Saccharomyces cerevisiae S288C: one gene and its partners. Changing the gene in region 2 together with the main gene of any one other region gives a genetic interaction. Each region holds a gene or a part of one and is shown on either strand. Other genes may lie near its edges.

Region 1 (3,991 bases), on a different chromosome or scaffold from region 2:
CAAGAAAAAGCAAAGGGGTTCTATATTGTCAACATATCATCGGTATTGACGTTAAAACCGTGCAAATCAGGAACACATTTTATTACATCGAAATGTGGTATAAACTCTTTCCACGATGGAATAACCTCAGAGCTTAAATTGAAAGATAGTAATTTGAATGTAAAAACGCTGATTGCATATTTACCCAGTTTTGAAAGTGAAGCACATTGGAAGAGACTTTCCCCGAGTATCTCGAAACATCTCGTCCACTGTCTACTTGAGGGAAGATATGGTGATACAATTCTCGAAAGCAAAAGATCAATTGGTGATATTCTTTTGATAACTGGTTTCAAAAGCTCTTTTACTTAAGGGTACTACAAATCGAAGTAACAGTGATAAAATTGCTAAGCACATATATTTCTATAAATAATTCAAGGAAAAGAAAGGTAACACTACAATTTTTATGATGATAAATAATTTGAATAAACCGGCCAGAATAGGCCAAAAAATTTTTTTTAAGTCTAACGAGATTCTCCTCCAAGGCAATAAGAATCAATAAGTCTTAGTACTGATGGTAGCTCCAATACAGGCACATTGAACCACTCTGTATGCCTCTTTTTTCCAGTTGGATCACACCCATAACAGTAAACCAATCCTTTCCCGTATTTCTTCCATAAAAATTTATGAATAGCGCTTTCGATATCTGGTAGTTTCATTGAACCTTTTCCGCTAATGAAAAATCCACCATCTTTATAAGTGCGTAGGGTTGGCACCTTAGGATCTGGAAGGGAAGGCTTGTGTGAGTGACTTTTATCTTTGATGAAAAGTTTCTCCATTTTTTTTTGTAAGCTTGATAATGAAATGGGCAATAGCCTGTTTGAACTGATATTTTTGCTTTCACTTTTCAATTTCAAGTGGTATAATTTATCGACTTTCTCTGGAGTCAAGTTTATCACTGGATGCTTGCATGTGGTTTGCCATTCTAAAAGTCTTGAATCTACTGTTTTTCGAGTGGTCATTCCTATCTTACATAGAATAAAGTCTCTGTCTACCCATTGTCTCTTCTTTTTACCATTAGTCCGAACTATTGACTCATCAATAAATAGCCATTTTAAATCTACCGTCTTTTCAGATATGTATGATTCAAAGAGGTTACTGTATGTATAGATGTAAATAAAACCCGGTTTATTTTGCGCATTATCTCTTGGTGCCCGTGTGTACCTTGCATCTTGCCACTGATGATAATGACAGTACTTTTTATCCGACGGTATGTTTATCTTGCACCGCTCTCCCTTTTTTGTTATGCCTAAGACATCTCATAATAGATTTAGCTTTGATGAGCACTTTTCTGATATAGTCTTATCTATGATGGGAAACAATTCTTTATTTCTCTTGACATTTGATTTCTTATGGTGTTGGACTTCTCGCGGGAGAGGCGCACATACACGACTACATGATAATAACATTATTAGAAAAATATATCAACATAAAAGAAGAAACTGATATAATACGTGCAATGTGCTTGTATGTAAATAAGTGTGCATTATATGTTTATTAAAAATTAAGAATTAGATTGATTTAATGTTTCGAAAAAAAAAATATTTAGTCATTTCACCATGTTGGATGGGAATTCGTGTGTTGTTATTGGAATGATTCTTCCTTTTTGGAGAGGAAAATAGTCAAAAGAACACGAAATAATATGAAAAAAATTTTCCATATGAATTTGCATCCAATCAAGCAAAAGATCGGCCTACTTCTGATATGTGGATATGTTTGTTTGTGTGTGTGTGTGTGTGTGTGTGTGATAAAATTGACAGATATGATGCCACTTAGTCTAAAAACTTGTGTGTAAACTTTAAAACTGTAACATCATATCGAAGGTATCAAACAGAGCACAATTGAAGAGGCATTAATTTGATTTTTGTTGACCGTGTTCTTTTATAACGTCTTGGCTTCCTTGGTATCGACAAATTGAAATGAAAATGAGGAATAACAAAAAGGAGATCAATAAGAAAAAAAATCAGATGGATGATGTTTAAAATTACTAACTGCTTTTTTCGTGTTGAGTAGAAACTCTTTGCATAGCAGCCATGAAATCTTCGACACTTCTTGTAGACTTCTTTTCCTTTAATGACTTACCATTCATCAACCTATCAAAGGCTTGAGACGTGGACATAATATAGTAAAATCCTCCCAATACACAAAAAATACCAATGGACCAAATCCAGACACGAACGACTGACACAATATCAGTCCAGTTTTCAGACCACCAGCCAAATAAGGTAAACATGGTAGCAATAATATCAACGGCGAAAACGGCACCGGCTAACTGCCACGATGGAATGGAAGACCAGAATGGGCCAGCAGCTCTAGTGACAAAAATTAACCAATTTTCAGTTAGTGAAATCTGCAGGAACATGACACCATTCATGGCACCAAAATTTTGGATAATACCACCATTAGGCAAGAACATGGTGGTTAAAGTAATCCAAGAACCTATAGCTAAAACTATGCCCAAAATAATAGACATACCCCATAATCTTGGTAGGTTCCATTTCACAGGTTCAGGAGCATAAGGAGCATTGTCATAAGCAATAGTTAAAGTGGCAACGTCTGCGAAAATAGCAATAAAAACGATCAAATTGATATCCAAAGAGTTGTTTAAAATAGCAATCCATAAACCCAGGAAAATCTCCAAATGTAAGGATAGGGCAATACGATAAACAACATAGGAGTACATTCTGTGGAAAATCTGTCTAGAAGTCTTTAAGGCATCAATAATAGCAGAGAGACCAGGGGCCAAGAAAACAATATCAGCGGCTGATCTGGCAGCATCGGTAGCACCTTCGACAGCAATACCAGTATCAGCCTTCTTCAAAGATGGGGCATCGTTAACACCATCACCAGTCATAGCAACCAAGTAACCTCTGTTTTGCAAGATTTCAACGACTCTGTATTTATGCTGTGGGAAAACTTCTGCGAAACCATCGGCATTTTCAACAAAATCAGCCAACTCTGAACCAGGCATATCACCTCCACCTCCCAGACCTAACCTTTCTGCGTTATAAATGTTTGTACCAAGTCCTAATTGCCTACACGTTTCTTTCGCGATACCAACAGCGTCACCGGTTAACATCTTGATTCTCAAACCAAGGTTTCTGGCCTCATTGATTGTTTGAGCGGTGTCATCTCTAGGGGGGTCCATACATGGCATAACACCCAAGATTTCCCAGTGACCTTCCCCTCTCTTTCTAGCAACACCTAAAGCACGGAAACCTCTAGAAGCTAGTTCAGCAACCTTATTTTCGTAGTTTTCATGCACATCTTCCGGAATTGGGTGATCTTCTTCAACAGTCTTCAAGACAAACAATGGGGCTCCCTTGACACAAACAATTCTTTCACCTTCTGGGGATTCTACAACAGCGGTAACCTTTTTTGAGACAGGGTCGAACGGATGGAATTCCAAAACTTTGTACTTGGTCAGGGCGTCTTTAGCTTTTGGATACTCAATCAATGACTTCAAAAAAGCCTTATCAATAGCATCCAAACCTTTCTTCTTTCTAGAGGCAGCTAAACAAGCGGTCAACATCAAGTCGTCCGGAGAAACGCCTTCGACAGTGTAGGGTTCGTGTAAAGATAACTTGTTTTTGGTTAAAGTACCAGTCTTGTCAGAACATAAAATCTCAACACCAGCAAGGGATTCAATAGCAGATAACTTTTGAACAATGGCTTGCTTCTTAGCCAAGTAAGCTGCACCGACAGCCATGGTCGTGGTAACAACTGCTGGCAAACCGACTGGGACACCAATGATGGTTATACCCAAAGTATATCTCAAAATGCTTACAATACCGACCGTTCTATAGAAACATGCGGTCCAGACCAACAACAAAGTAGCGATAACTAGAACAAGTAAGATAATACCAATTCCATTCAATACTTCAGTGAAATGGCCCTCTACACCGGAAGCCTGCCCCACTAAGGCGGCAGCCCTACCGACGAAGGTATTGTCACC
Region 2 (6,065 bases):
CACATTATTGAATTTCATAGAGACTGCTTGTAATTTAGTTGCCAAGGTATCTCGCTGGACTTTACATGTAAAATGAATGCGGCAAGATACCCAAGAGAGTTGATTATGCCAAAAAAAAAAAATCTATAAGGATATCCCTGGTATTTTCTGAAGAATAAATTCTAGCGTAGTTCAGAAGAGGTGCAAGTACAGTATGAATAATGGTATGCCTTCCATCATCGTGGCATACAGGTTCAGGCATGAAGAGATGATTATGTTCCCTCACCGGTCCATAATCCTGATTTAAACAGTTCATTAGTATATGTTCAGCCAACACAACAACGAGAAGCTTTGTAGTGAAAGTTTTCCACGATCTATATTTAGCATTCTAATTAGCGGCCCCAAGGGAACGTATATAAACATAAACAAACGGCACGAACTAAAGGGGCAAATTCAAGTTAACCCTTTTACACTCAGTACATCTTCAAAGCCAGTCTTCTGTCAATGGAAGAATCCAGAATGCCTAAAACTAGTTATTTAAACAAAAATTTTGAATCTGCTCACTATAATAACGTACGTCCCTCTTACCCTTTATCTTTAGTCAATGAGATAATGAAATTTCACAAAGGCACACGCAAAAGTTTGGTTGATATTGGATGTGGCACAGGAAAAGCAACTTTTGTCGTTGAACCCTATTTTAAGGAAGTGATTGGGATTGATCCTTCTTCTGCTATGCTTTCGATTGCTGAGAAAGAAACAAATGAACGTAGATTAGATAAAAAGATTAGATTTATTAATGCGCCTGGTGAAGATTTATCCAGCATTCGACCAGAAAGTGTAGATATGGTTATTTCAGCAGAAGCCATCCATTGGTGCAATTTAGAAAGGCTGTTTCAGCAGGTTTCCTCTATATTACGAAGTGATGGAACTTTTGCATTCTGGTTTTATATTCAGCCGGAATTTGTGGACTTTCCCGAAGCCTTGAATGTATATTACAAATATGGATGGAGCAAGGATTATATGGGTAAATATCTGAACGACAACCAACGGGAAATTTTGTTGAATTACGGTGGTGAAAAGCTACGTTCTTTATTGTCAGATCGATTTGGAGATATTGAAGTCACAATTTACAGTCCTTCGGACCCAAATGCATCAACAGTAACGGCTGAAAACAGTCAGTTTCTCTGGAGAGCAGCTATTACTCTCAATCAATTTAAAGAGTTTGTGAAAAGCTGGAGCATATACACTTCTTGGGCTAGAGATAATCCCTCGAAACCGGATATTGCCGATATATTCATTAACGAGCTCAAAGAAATCTGTCATTGTGAAGATTTGAATGTACCTTTAAAAATAGAGTGGTCAACGTTTTATTACTTATGTAGGAAAAGAGAATGAGGTTTACTAAATTAAAAGAAATATATAAAAAGCTGATTTTTTTCTTTTTTTAAATATTTCCCAAATGCTAATAAATATTAAAATATGGCAAAAAGAAAATAAGGTGTTGTTGCGCAGTTGGGAGTAATTTAAAACCGTCAACATATGCTCTAAAAATTTTATTGGCTCTAAATTCCGACCTCTGAATGTAATTATGTTTTAAAGCGATACGTAAACTTGTTACTGTTAACATTAAAAGATAATGCAATCATGGTAACATAATAAAGTCTCAAAAAATTCTTAATATTAACTATAACATATGCACTTCAGAAAGCTGTTTCCGGATCATATCTCATTATAAAAAGCTCAATTTATAGAAAAATAATGCGACAGTGCAAAGTAAACAACTAAATTTGGTGCCTACACCGCAAAACGATATCGAGTCTTAGAAGTATATACCTCACCACGTCTCAAAAGAACGCAGTCTCTCCATCCATCACGGTTGATTGCGTCAACATATCTGCCTTGTTCAACGGCAAAGCCAGATCTCGGCGTAAATCCATCACACAAGTTGTCACCTGTGTAAAATAGGACAGTTGGTTCTGTTGTTGAAACCTCCAATGAAAGTCGTGATGCCGGATGATAAGCCTTGAAGGCAGGGACGAGCTTGTTTACACTTACTGAGTCTGTCGTTTTCAAATTCTTATTTTCATCAACAATGAAAGCGTAGTCATAAATCGGGCCATCATCCTGCAGAATGGTAGGTTTGGAGGAGTCAAAAGTAGCAATTTTTCTTTGAACGATTTTACCGGTTGGAATTAGTGCTCCTTCGCTTACTTCCAATGATTTATCTGAGCAGAGCCTAACCTCCGTACCGCTAATGGATTTTTTATCCATAGTTTTGTTTAAATTGAAGTACGTGTGATTCGTCATGTTGATGGGAGTAGCCTCACCGCTGACCAGTTTTGCCTCGTATTCCAAGTCCAAGGTCATGTCAGCAACGTTCAATGTGTACTTTAAGTTTACAGCTAGATCTCCCGGAAATTCATTGGGCAGTGTGCGGTCATCCAATAACGTAAATTCAACAATGTAAAGGTCATCAAGAGGATTTTGGACTTTGGATGCCTTATACTTCTTGAGATGGAAGGAGCTGATGCTACTGTGGTTGGTGTTTCCACAATTGTTCACTGTCAACTGATGAGGTCCATCTTCCATACTGAACATGCCCTTGTAAATACGATTTGCATAACGGCCAACAGTAGCACCAATGTAGTTGTAGCCATCTGATATATAGCCATGAATATCAGGGTATCCTAGAACAATCGATTCGTTGTTCACTTTCAAGTCAAGCAAAGTAGCGCCAAGCTCTGAAATTGTTGCTTGAAGCTTTTTTGCATCACCAATAGTGATGACTTCATATTCACCGCCAGCCTTATTATTTGACATTATCACTTTTTGGCTTTTTAGGTGAATTTACTTATTGCAGTAACATAATGTACAATTGAGTTCCAGTACTTCGTAGTACATTCTGATTTTATATCTCAGAGCATCCAAGGTGTTTACGCATGAATAACCAAACCATGGAGGAGTTACTTTTACCTTTTTTTAAGATATTCAGCTAGTAACTAATTGTCGGAAAAACTTAACAGGTACAAGGCCATATTATCACGTAACAAACCTAATTTTTGTACGATATTAGTGCCCGAGAATTTCTCCGTAGCGTAATTTTCTGCGAGAATTTCTGCGCAGTGCAAAGATATGCGACCTGACACTCTTTACGAAACTTTACCCCTCCCCCACCTCCACCTGCATTTATCCCGTCAAAAAGTGTCAATCACCTGGATGCATAAGGAGGAAAAATTATTCCAAGGATGTTGGACAACGCGAATTTTGGAAGTGACTTCTCATAAGCTTCTGATCTCTACTATATTCTTGTAATTTGGTGGGGTAGTGCAGGCTTACTGTGCGATGAGCAAATCCAGCGTATTGCTCACAGCGATAGGCCTTTGAAATGATATTGTTTGAATGCAAAACGCAGAAATGATATTCAACTTCATAATCTCATTAAACAAGATAGCATGCCAATAGAATTCCATTTTTTCCGATTCTTAGGCCATTTACAACCAAGTATCAACTTTCGTATAATTTTATTTCCATAATTATACGCAAATGCTGCAGTAGTTGCACATAGAATGATGATACGACCTAATAAAGGAAAAGGGGAATCTGTTCTGAGCTGAAAACTGATTCAAAACTCAATTTGGACACTCGGTTCGGGTGCTGGCCAGCAATAGTTTAGTGTTATCATGTCATAATCTTCCTCATAGGTTTCAATGTAATATCGATAATTACAAAGTAGTTCCTTTTCATTTAAATTTATATGCAAGAAGATAAGAGTTGATGTAGCAGTGCACCAGTTTTGCTTTACAATTCTTACAGTTTTATGAAAAATAATCTCCAATATGCCATGCTGAACTGGCATTCTTTTTGAGTGCAAAAGGAGGTTTTGGAAAAACAAAGTCTTCTTCTGCGTGTTACTCTGAAAATGTTGAAAAATAAGCTGAATGGGGCATTACATGTTTTCATCCAAACATGCCTTGTCAATAACGAGATTCGCGACGTATTCTTTTAGTATTCTGTTCCTTTTTTTTTTTGCTCCGCGCGCACTTGAACATCTTGCATATTTTTCTTTTCTGTTTTCATCCAGAGGTTGTGTTCTAGGACTTTCTGACGGAGGAATATCATCAAATCATCACAATAAGATCAATTGCATGGGTTCCAGCACTTAGCCAAATGTACAAATCTTGATATTTACCGGAGACCAACCCTTAGTTTGAAGTGTGCGCTACCAGGGAATCTTCTTCGGTCATTATTTTCTATCTTCACGATAATCGATCCTCCTCCTATACGTTAATATCGACTGATATCTAAATACATCGTTGAAGAACGGCGGAAAAATACTTATTTTCAGGTTGTCTTCGTTTTCACTCACGATAGCAATATGGATCCTTTCACAGCTCCTATCACCGCTGTAGTTTTTTATGACGCTTAATTTCCTGTTAATAAGTAAATAAGGTAAGTTGAAGGTCCTTCATACTGTGATCTGCAATAAACCACATGGCTACCGCACTTCTTGTCACTATCCTATGTGGAGAAAACCCAGAAAAAACTTTAAAGCGTGATTGAAATCAATAATTTGGCAAAGAACTAGAACCATACGCAAGAAAACCTTCCAACTTTGGCATTGTACGCAGAAATGAGACACGTTCAAAGCACAGGTCTTGAAATTTAAAAAAGTTTCTCAAAAGTTCTCCCAAACCTTCAATTTCTATTGGTATAACAGTATTCTAGGAAGAAAACAGGCGAAGAAAGTTTCTTTACTTTCTTCCTTTAATAGACTTTCATGAATATCAAATGCTGTTGTTTTCAACTAAATCAGACAAGCAAAGGCGATTGCTAAAAGTGAACATATGGAAAATATATGGAAAAAATCTAGAGGCAACAAACGTTCGGGTTTCCTTTTAACTCCGAGAAAGAAAAATCATTAGAACTTCGTGTTAATCCTAATAGAGTTCAAATATGCTACTAGTCGTCAGAAACCTCAGTTACATGATTACACATTCTAAGACTTCACAAGTGAAAAATTTCCCGACGTTCATAGCATGTTACGTGATCGCGCAGGATGGGACAATTAAACGATCTTTGCAGTGGAGAAGGAATAACTTCCGGTTGCAGCTACTTGTCAAACAGAACACTGGTATGGATAAGATAATAGTCAGATCTTTTATTACTTATGAAACAATGTCAGTAACACAGCGTGTTTAACAGATAATGTTCTTTTAACAAAATTAAATGAGGTCTTTTATTGTGTGTGTCAAGTTGACAAGCCGCCTTTATTGATAGATCCCCACTAAAAATACCAGGAAATGATGAGCTCGAGTCTTTGTGCCTTTCTCATCATGGACCATTCGCACATGCAGTGCTGCACAACAAAAGATAAATCACCAGTATTAGGTGACTTTCAAAACACTAGAATTTAGGCACTTTCAACCCAGCCCAGCGCGTAGTAAGAATAAAGTAGGGGAAAACCTTACGAAAAGCCTCTTTCTTTTTTGTAAAAAATTCTGTTTTTAATAGCCAGTTCTTTAGTGATTACAGGTAAGAGGGTTTCATATTTTAGAAGTGCAGCCATGATGAAGCACTTTTGCTCATTTATTGCGAGAAGTTTAATAAGTAGTATGGTTCCATTTTCAAGAATCGAGGCACTGTTCCTTCCCAACCTTGGAATCATACTCCGAAAGGATTTCAAGCCGATTTAAATTCACCTGGTAACTTTCCTACGGTTTGGCCCAAGGTGATTATAATTAACTTGCGGCTTGTTTTCAGCCTGCGATCGAACCTTTTTTACGCAAAAAAACCTTATTAATTAAGGTTTTGAAAATTTTCTTCTTTCCGGGAGATTTTCATGTAGCCTCGAGCTTCTGGATTCTCACGGGATTATCTCGCGTTACATTTTTTACTTTCTTCTTTCTTTTTGACTTAGGATATACAGATGATACGTCATTGTGTCATAAAACCCGCTGTTGTGCAACAAAAGGGAAAAAGAAAAATACTCCTTTTTAGGTCTTATAAATATTTTTAGCAGCCATCAAGTCCGGCTTTCAAACTTAATTTCACCCTTTTTCACGGCACCCTCGAGAATTACACTTTGG
Region 3 (6,914 bases), on a different chromosome or scaffold from region 2:
AATTTTGAAAAGTAGGAAAAACTAAGTTATTTTTGCAGAAACTACACGGTTTTATGTTACGGTTCGTCTCGTTTTCAGGTTTAAGGTCCAATAATAAAGAGTTTCCTTTTCCTTTTTCCTTTTTGCTGCGCGTGGAAAAGCGTGTCTTTTTCTCATACCCCTGTTTTTTTGTTTTTTTTTTTATTTTTTTTGCTTTTCTTTGCTTTTTGCCTCGTCCCCCCGCGCCCCGGCCACAAAGAGGAAGCTATTTGCCACCGAGCTTCCTCTTTTGACTCCAGGCCGGAATAAAGTAGCTTCCGCAAAACTTCGCTCCACTTTCCAAAGAGGAAGCCCGTCACGTGGCTGCGCTGTCTCCCCCCCCCCCCCCCCTTTTTCCCCTGTGTTTTCGATCTACCGATTTTCTGTTCTATAACTACGTCCATTATCTATCTATATCTATCTATCTCTGCATTGCGCAATCAATACATAAACAGTGGATTTTCTTGCCGCCGCCTAGCCGGCTAGTAAGCTGTGAGATCAGTGAATATGACCTCTTGTTCCTCGAGGTAGGTAATGTAGTCTTTCCATAGGGGGTCTCCTTTTCTTAAGACATTCTTGTTGCCCACCACAATTAGTCCGTGCTTGGCTCTTGTCAATGCCACGTTTAACCTTCTTTTGTCACGTAAAAAGCCGATTTTGTTTTCGGTGTTATTTCTGACACATGAAAATATGATGAAAGATTTTTCGTGGCCTTGAAAGGAGTCTACGGTCGCGACGTGTAGGCCGTTGATGATGTTAATCACATTGTTTTGTAGACTGCCGGCGGTTCCTTGAGAACCAGCCGCGTTAAATAGCTCAATTTCATCGTATTCTTGTTGCATAGAAATCTGTTTGGGGTTGATAACTACGTTTTTGGTCAAGATGTCAGACAGCAGATCACGCTGTGCAGAATAGGGCGTTATGACACCAATTTCTTCCAGCGGAACCTTCTTGTCCAACATTAGTATTTGGATAATCTTCACGATTTCTACACATTCGTGTTTGTTTTCGTACGTAAACCCGACTATGTCTCTTTGCGTGCTTCTCACTCTGCTCTCGGGCCCCAAATCGCACTGATAAAAAAACAACGGATGCTGCACGCCAGGCCATGCCTTTTGTTCGTCCGTGACACCGTCCTTCAATTCACCATTGTATATTTTCTTAATGGGGAATTCGCTAATTTTTGGGTGCATTCTGTACTGCGTATCCAGCATTAGTGGGTTTTTGTACGTGCCATTAGATAGGACTCTTTCGAATAGTGAGGTTTCCAGTTGAGGGATGTTGCTGAAACTTGACAATTGCTTTTCGTCCCCAACGAAGACAAAATTTCTTATACCTGGTAACGAAAGTGGGACTAGTGTTGAAGCCTCTGATGATTGTGTAGCCTCATCCATTATTACCACGGGACATTCTTTTATAACCTTCAATTCACGACCACCTGCAGCAATGTTTGTCGTGAAAATTATTTGCGATTGAGATACGACCTTGTTGGTGACACGGTTTTTCTCTTTATAAAACTTCGTGTCCTCTGATTTGGAGATCATTTCGCCCCTGCGGGTTTTGTTTGCCACGACTTGCATGTCTGGGGAAAGATTTTTGTATACAATATTGTGGAGACAAATTTCGCCCAATGGGTGGTCATCACTATACTGTTGTTCTTTCTTCTTTGACAAAATTCTTAAGATCTTTATCTGCGGTCTATTCTCCATAATCTTCTCGGCAATGTTATCAATAGCAATATTTGACGCGGCAACACACAATATTGGGAATGCGTGAAATCTTTCAATTACTTGGATGATTATCTCCTCTATTGTTGATGTTTTACCTGTACCAGGTGGGCCTTGTAGAATTGTGATACTGTTGTTTAGAACATGTTCCACTGCAGTCTTCTGAGATCGGTTCAACTTGTCACTGGAAAATTTTAGCCTGTTATCAAAATAAATCTCTTTAATAGGCTTTTGGCCTAGTAATAGGTCAATAAATTTTGGGTTTGTAATACGCGTCATGGCAAATAGAATTCTACTTGTCTGCGCAGAAGTTGGCAATAGCTTAAATTGAGATGAACCATTTTTCGTTGGCAAACTCAAATTATTCCACGAAAAAAGCTCCACTAACAACACGTATTTACCCCTTTGAATAGAAAGTTCTTTGATAAAAATATACCAAACTTTTTGTTCATCCTGAGTACAAAAGAAAAATGGTTGCCTTTCATTAAATGCCGGTCTACCGAGTGCAAGCAAATTTGCAGGTAGTAATTTCTCAAGTTCTGAATTATTATTCTTCTCAACGTTGATTATAAAAGCTGTATCTTTTTCATTGCGAGGCCATAGTATGTTGAAGTTTTGAACAAATTCGTTCTCTAATTTCTGTTCCAAAAAAAGGGCAAATGAGTAATCATTTAGGTATGTGTTCAAATCGGGGTATGATAAGGTTGACTTAAAGGTATTATACCTTGTGAGTGGTTCACCTTCTTCGTAAATAAGTTTCCCGTCCTTAGTTTTTCCATTATTTTTCTCTTGATTTTTTGTCTCCAACTTTTTTGGCATCGTTGTTGTTTTTGATTTTTCATTCAGCGTCGGCTTGCTAGCCTTCTTATTGCGGTTTCGCGATTTAGTAATTGAAGTTGTGTTCTCGTTTGGGCTAATACTAGGTTCTCTAGAAGATTCAGTATCAGATCCAATTGTCCACCTGCTAGTTCCCTTATTTGGCTGGTTATTTGATTTTTTGCCAAGTGCATTCTTTCTGCCAGCTGAATTTAGTTTGGCCTCTCGCGGATTCTTATTACCCGTTTTATCATTGCCCTTAGTCTTCTGGCCAGCATGGTCTTTTTTCCCTTTTTTCAAACCAGTAGTATTAGTACTGCCCGACCCGTTTCCATTCAAAGCTTTTGGTTGCGGTAATTGGTGCTTATCCACTGATTCGTTCTTGCCTTTCCCTCCAGAGTTTGTTGTAACGTGGCTATTGGTATTTTTTCTGTCCTCTGGTATAGGTTGGCTGTTACGGACATTATTTCTAATGTTTGTTTTCCTCTCTTTCTCTTTTCCTATCCCATTTCCACTATTCTTTTTGTGGTTTGCCTTATTTCCTTTCCCTTTGTTTCGATTTGATGGGCCAGGATTACTTCTACTAGTCTCTGATTTGCTTACTTTTGCTGCAACTACTGGATCGCTTTCCACCGCTTTGAAACCTTTGAAGTTTCTTAGATTGGAACTACTAGAGCTTTGAATGGTACTATTTTCTTTCTTGACTTCATAAGCGATTCTACTTATTTTGGCCTCGAAAGTTTCCTTTTTCTCCTTCTTAATCTTAGCACCCTTCCTGCCCTTCTTTCCTCTACCAACTCTTCTGCCGCCCTTTTTTCTAGGCTTTCTAGTGCTATTCTGTGTTTCATTCAGTCCCAAGTAGATGTATAGGAATCTTCCACTTTTTTCAGAAACAAAGTCTTTAGCTCTATTCGATTTGGGCAAGCACTTGTCACATAATACTTCTCCATTTCTATTTGCATTCAAGTTAGACTCTTCCCCACACTCATCACAACAACATTCCCTGACTTTCACGTACTTTTCCCAAAATTTCAATATAGAGCCGTTTTGTAATGAGTAGCTAGTTGATGGACGCTCCGTTTCTGAATATTCTTTCCGAAAACACGAATTACAAAGTAAAACCATGTCTTCACCCCCAAACCTGATGATTTGAAGTTGGTGTATATTTTTATCTTGACATTCCTCACAGCAAATATCTTCATCATTTGAAGTGTCGAATACAGTTTTATGCCTCGTACTTGAGAGATGCTTCATCATCTGCTCAGCATCATAAGCCTGGCTACACGTTCTGCACTGAAAATCCATCGTGTAGTACTTCTTAGTCTGCGGAACTCCTTATATTGTCACAACTTTGTTCGAATTCTTCAAATGATGAACTTACATTATACATCACTCTTGAGCATTTTAAGACTCTAAAATCGCATACAAATAGCATCCATTACCCGACTACACAGGAATAAAATACGGCGGAAATATAAAAAAAAAAAAATAGCGGCATCTTCAATATCTCTGTACTGATTACTAAATAGACGGTAACCAATTCACGTTGCCGATCGAGGTGTGACACATCACTGTCATGTTCATTTTACAATTCTTATTGAGTGAGAGCGCTTGTATAGAATTTCTATCTTTCTTTTAAGAGGTGCAGTTCAAGTAGGATTTAGTTGGAAATGATAACTTGTTTGAGTAAGCTTTGGTTCCGCTTGTTATGACCTGCTTCATTCTCATATAACCTCATTTGTTAAAAATCTAAAAAAGAATCAATTTCTTCGATTATAAGTGCGTACCAAAAAAGCGGCTAATTTTGGTATTTGTGATATCAAATATACATTGCAACCCAATTTTCATCATTGCGCTTGAGTTTACTATTTCAAGTCGGTGTGGTGAAAGGTCTCTCCAATATTTGGGTACCAATTTATCGAAGCAGCTGAAATTTTACGATGTTAGATCGATTCCCGTGTCTGACAGTGTTTGGGCTGCAAATTTTTTGTGCTTCTTGAAGGCAACATGTGAGATCGGGAAGTAAAGCCCGCCAGAGTATGTTCTCAGTAAGTCATATTGACATAACACTTGGATCAATTGCGTATTTAGAAATTAATTCCTGTTTTATTTTAAGATGCTGACATTTCAATTATAGATTTTTAGCCTGTCTTATACCACCTAGAATAATTTGCTAATGTTTAGAAACTGATCTTGGTGCTCACGCTAATATTAAAAAATATACCCTGCCTCAATATCATTATGAGTATTTTATTCTCAAATATCATCCGCGAATTTTCTTGCAGAATATTTCTACAACCACGTTTGTTTTGACTAAAACAGATAAATGTTTTATGTAGTCTCATGCATTGTTAAATGACCAATAAAAAGGGTGTTCCATCAACCTATCTAATCAGAAAAATTAGGTGCAATTCTGCCGTTGTTTACTATAAATGAATCACACCTTATGTGTTGATGTTCATGACTCACAGTAATATCCTTTTTTTTTCTGGTTTTCCGAAAGTTTATCTTCCTTATTTTCATTTTTAAAGGAAAAGGAATGTAACTAATTTAGTATGTTTTCGTTGTAGCAGTCTTTATTAGTTGTTATGAGAATTATCTCCTAACAAGATAACAAAATAAGTGATAATAATGTCTACCTTTTCTGCTTCTGATTTCAACTCAGAAAGATATTCATCTTCAAGACCTTCTTATCCCTCCGATTTTTACAAGATGATTGATGAATACCACGACGGAGAAAGGAAATTACTCGTAGATGTTGGCTGTGGACCAGGTACTGCCACTTTACAAATGGCTCAGGAGTTAAAACCATTCGAACAAATTATCGGAAGCGATCTCTCCGCTACCATGATTAAGACTGCAGAAGTAATAAAGGAAGGAAGTCCTGATACATACAAAAACGTTTCATTTAAGATTTCTTCAAGTGATGATTTTAAATTCCTAGGCGCGGATTCAGTAGACAAACAGAAAATTGATATGATTACCGCAGTAGAATGTGCTCATTGGTTCGATTTCGAAAAATTTCAGCGATCTGCTTATGCCAATTTGAGAAAAGATGGTACTATCGCTATTTGGGGTTATGCGGACCCAATTTTCCCGGACTACCCTGAATTTGATGATCTGATGATTGAAGTTCCTTACGGGAAGCAAGGACTGGGACCCTATTGGGAACAACCGGGGAGATCTCGCCTTCGTAATATGCTGAAAGACTCTCACTTAGACCCAGAACTTTTCCATGATATACAAGTTTCATATTTTTGTGCAGAAGATGTGAGAGACAAAGTAAAACTCCACCAGCATACAAAGAAGCCATTGCTAATCAGAAAGCAGGTCACCCTAGTGGAGTTTGCAGATTATGTCAGAACCTGGAGCGCTTACCATCAGTGGAAGCAGGATCCAAAGAACAAAGATAAAGAAGATGTAGCAGATTGGTTTATTAAAGAGTCACTAAGGAGGAGGCCGGAACTTTCCACCAACACCAAAATTGAAGTTGTTTGGAATACTTTTTACAAACTTGGCAAAAGGGTCTGAAAATTTCAGCCAATAAGCATTATATTCGTGAAATTTTAGTAAGAGCGCGCGTTTTAATTGGTGAAGCCTCGCGACGTATTCACAGATGTCCTAGAAAAAGTTACCATATCTGAAGACTGGTTGATATTTAGCTTAAATAGCATATTAATACTGTACCAGTTGAACCATTTTTTAATCTGTTACTGCCAGGAACGTTGATTCGTTTTCCCGGTAACATTGTTGTCTTTGGGTACTGAGCATATTTCATTTTTCCACTTACATATAACTAAATTTCTGTGCTCTTCCTCCAATAAATATGACTGTGGTTGAAATAAAAAGCCAGGACCAATTTACGCAACTAACCACTACAAACGCTGCTAATAAACTCATTGTCTTATATTTTAAAGCTCAATGGGCTGATCCTTGCAAAACTATGAGCCAGGTGCTAGAAGCTGTTAGTGAAAAAGTTAGGCAAGAGGATGTCCGGTTTTTATCAATAGATGCAGACGAACATCCAGAAATATCAGACCTTTTTGAGATTGCAGCCGTACCATACTTCGTCTTCATTCAAAATGGTACTATTGTAAAAGAAATATCAGCCGCAGATCCTAAGGAGTTTGTGAAAAGCTTAGAAATTCTTTCGAATGCTTCTGCCTCACTAGCGAACAATGCCAAGGGTCCTAAATCTACGTCTGATGAGGAAAGCAGCGGGTCTTCCGATGATGAAGAGGACGAAACTGAAGAAGAAATAAATGCTAGGCTGGTGAAGCTAGTACAAGCTGCACCTGTGATGCTATTCATGAAAGGAAGCCCATCAGAACCTAAATGCGGATTTTCTAGACA

Evidence for each region. Genes that interact genetically often act in the same process or in processes that back each other up.
Region 1: mutations in YHR210C (region 2) and YPL034W together harm fitness more than expected from each alone (negative genetic interaction), as found in Saccharomyces cerevisiae (one large-scale study listed by BioGRID).
Region 3: mutations in YHR210C (region 2) and ECM32 together harm fitness more than expected from each alone (negative genetic interaction), as found in Saccharomyces cerevisiae (one large-scale study listed by BioGRID).

Annotation. Positions count from the first base shown.
Region 1 is NC_001148.4:483,719-487,709, reverse strand, and holds YPL034W (uncharacterized protein), read right to left. Parts: upstream 999-3,991; coding exon 501-998; downstream 1-500. Other genes in the region: SRL4 (Srl4p), read left to right, coding at 1-348; H(+)-exporting P2-type ATPase PMA2, read right to left, coding at 2,024-3,991.
Region 2 is NC_001140.6:518,939-525,003, forward strand, and holds YHR210C (aldose 1-epimerase superfamily protein), read right to left. Parts: upstream 2,800-6,065; coding exon 1,774-2,799; downstream 1-1,773. Other genes in the region: CRG1 (S-adenosylmethionine-dependent methyltransferase), read left to right, coding at 499-1,374.
Region 3 is NC_001137.3:538,642-545,555, reverse strand, and holds ECM32 (RNA helicase), read right to left. Parts: upstream 3,867-6,914; coding exon 501-3,866; downstream 1-500. Other genes in the region: YER175W-A (uncharacterized protein), read right to left, coding at 4,742-4,906; TMT1 (trans-aconitate 3-methyltransferase), read left to right, coding at 5,193-6,092; monothiol glutaredoxin GRX4, read left to right, coding at 6,388-6,914. UniProt on the Saccharomyces cerevisiae protein: Probable RNA helicase, which may be involved in modulation of the translation termination process. Probably unwinds double-stranded RNA.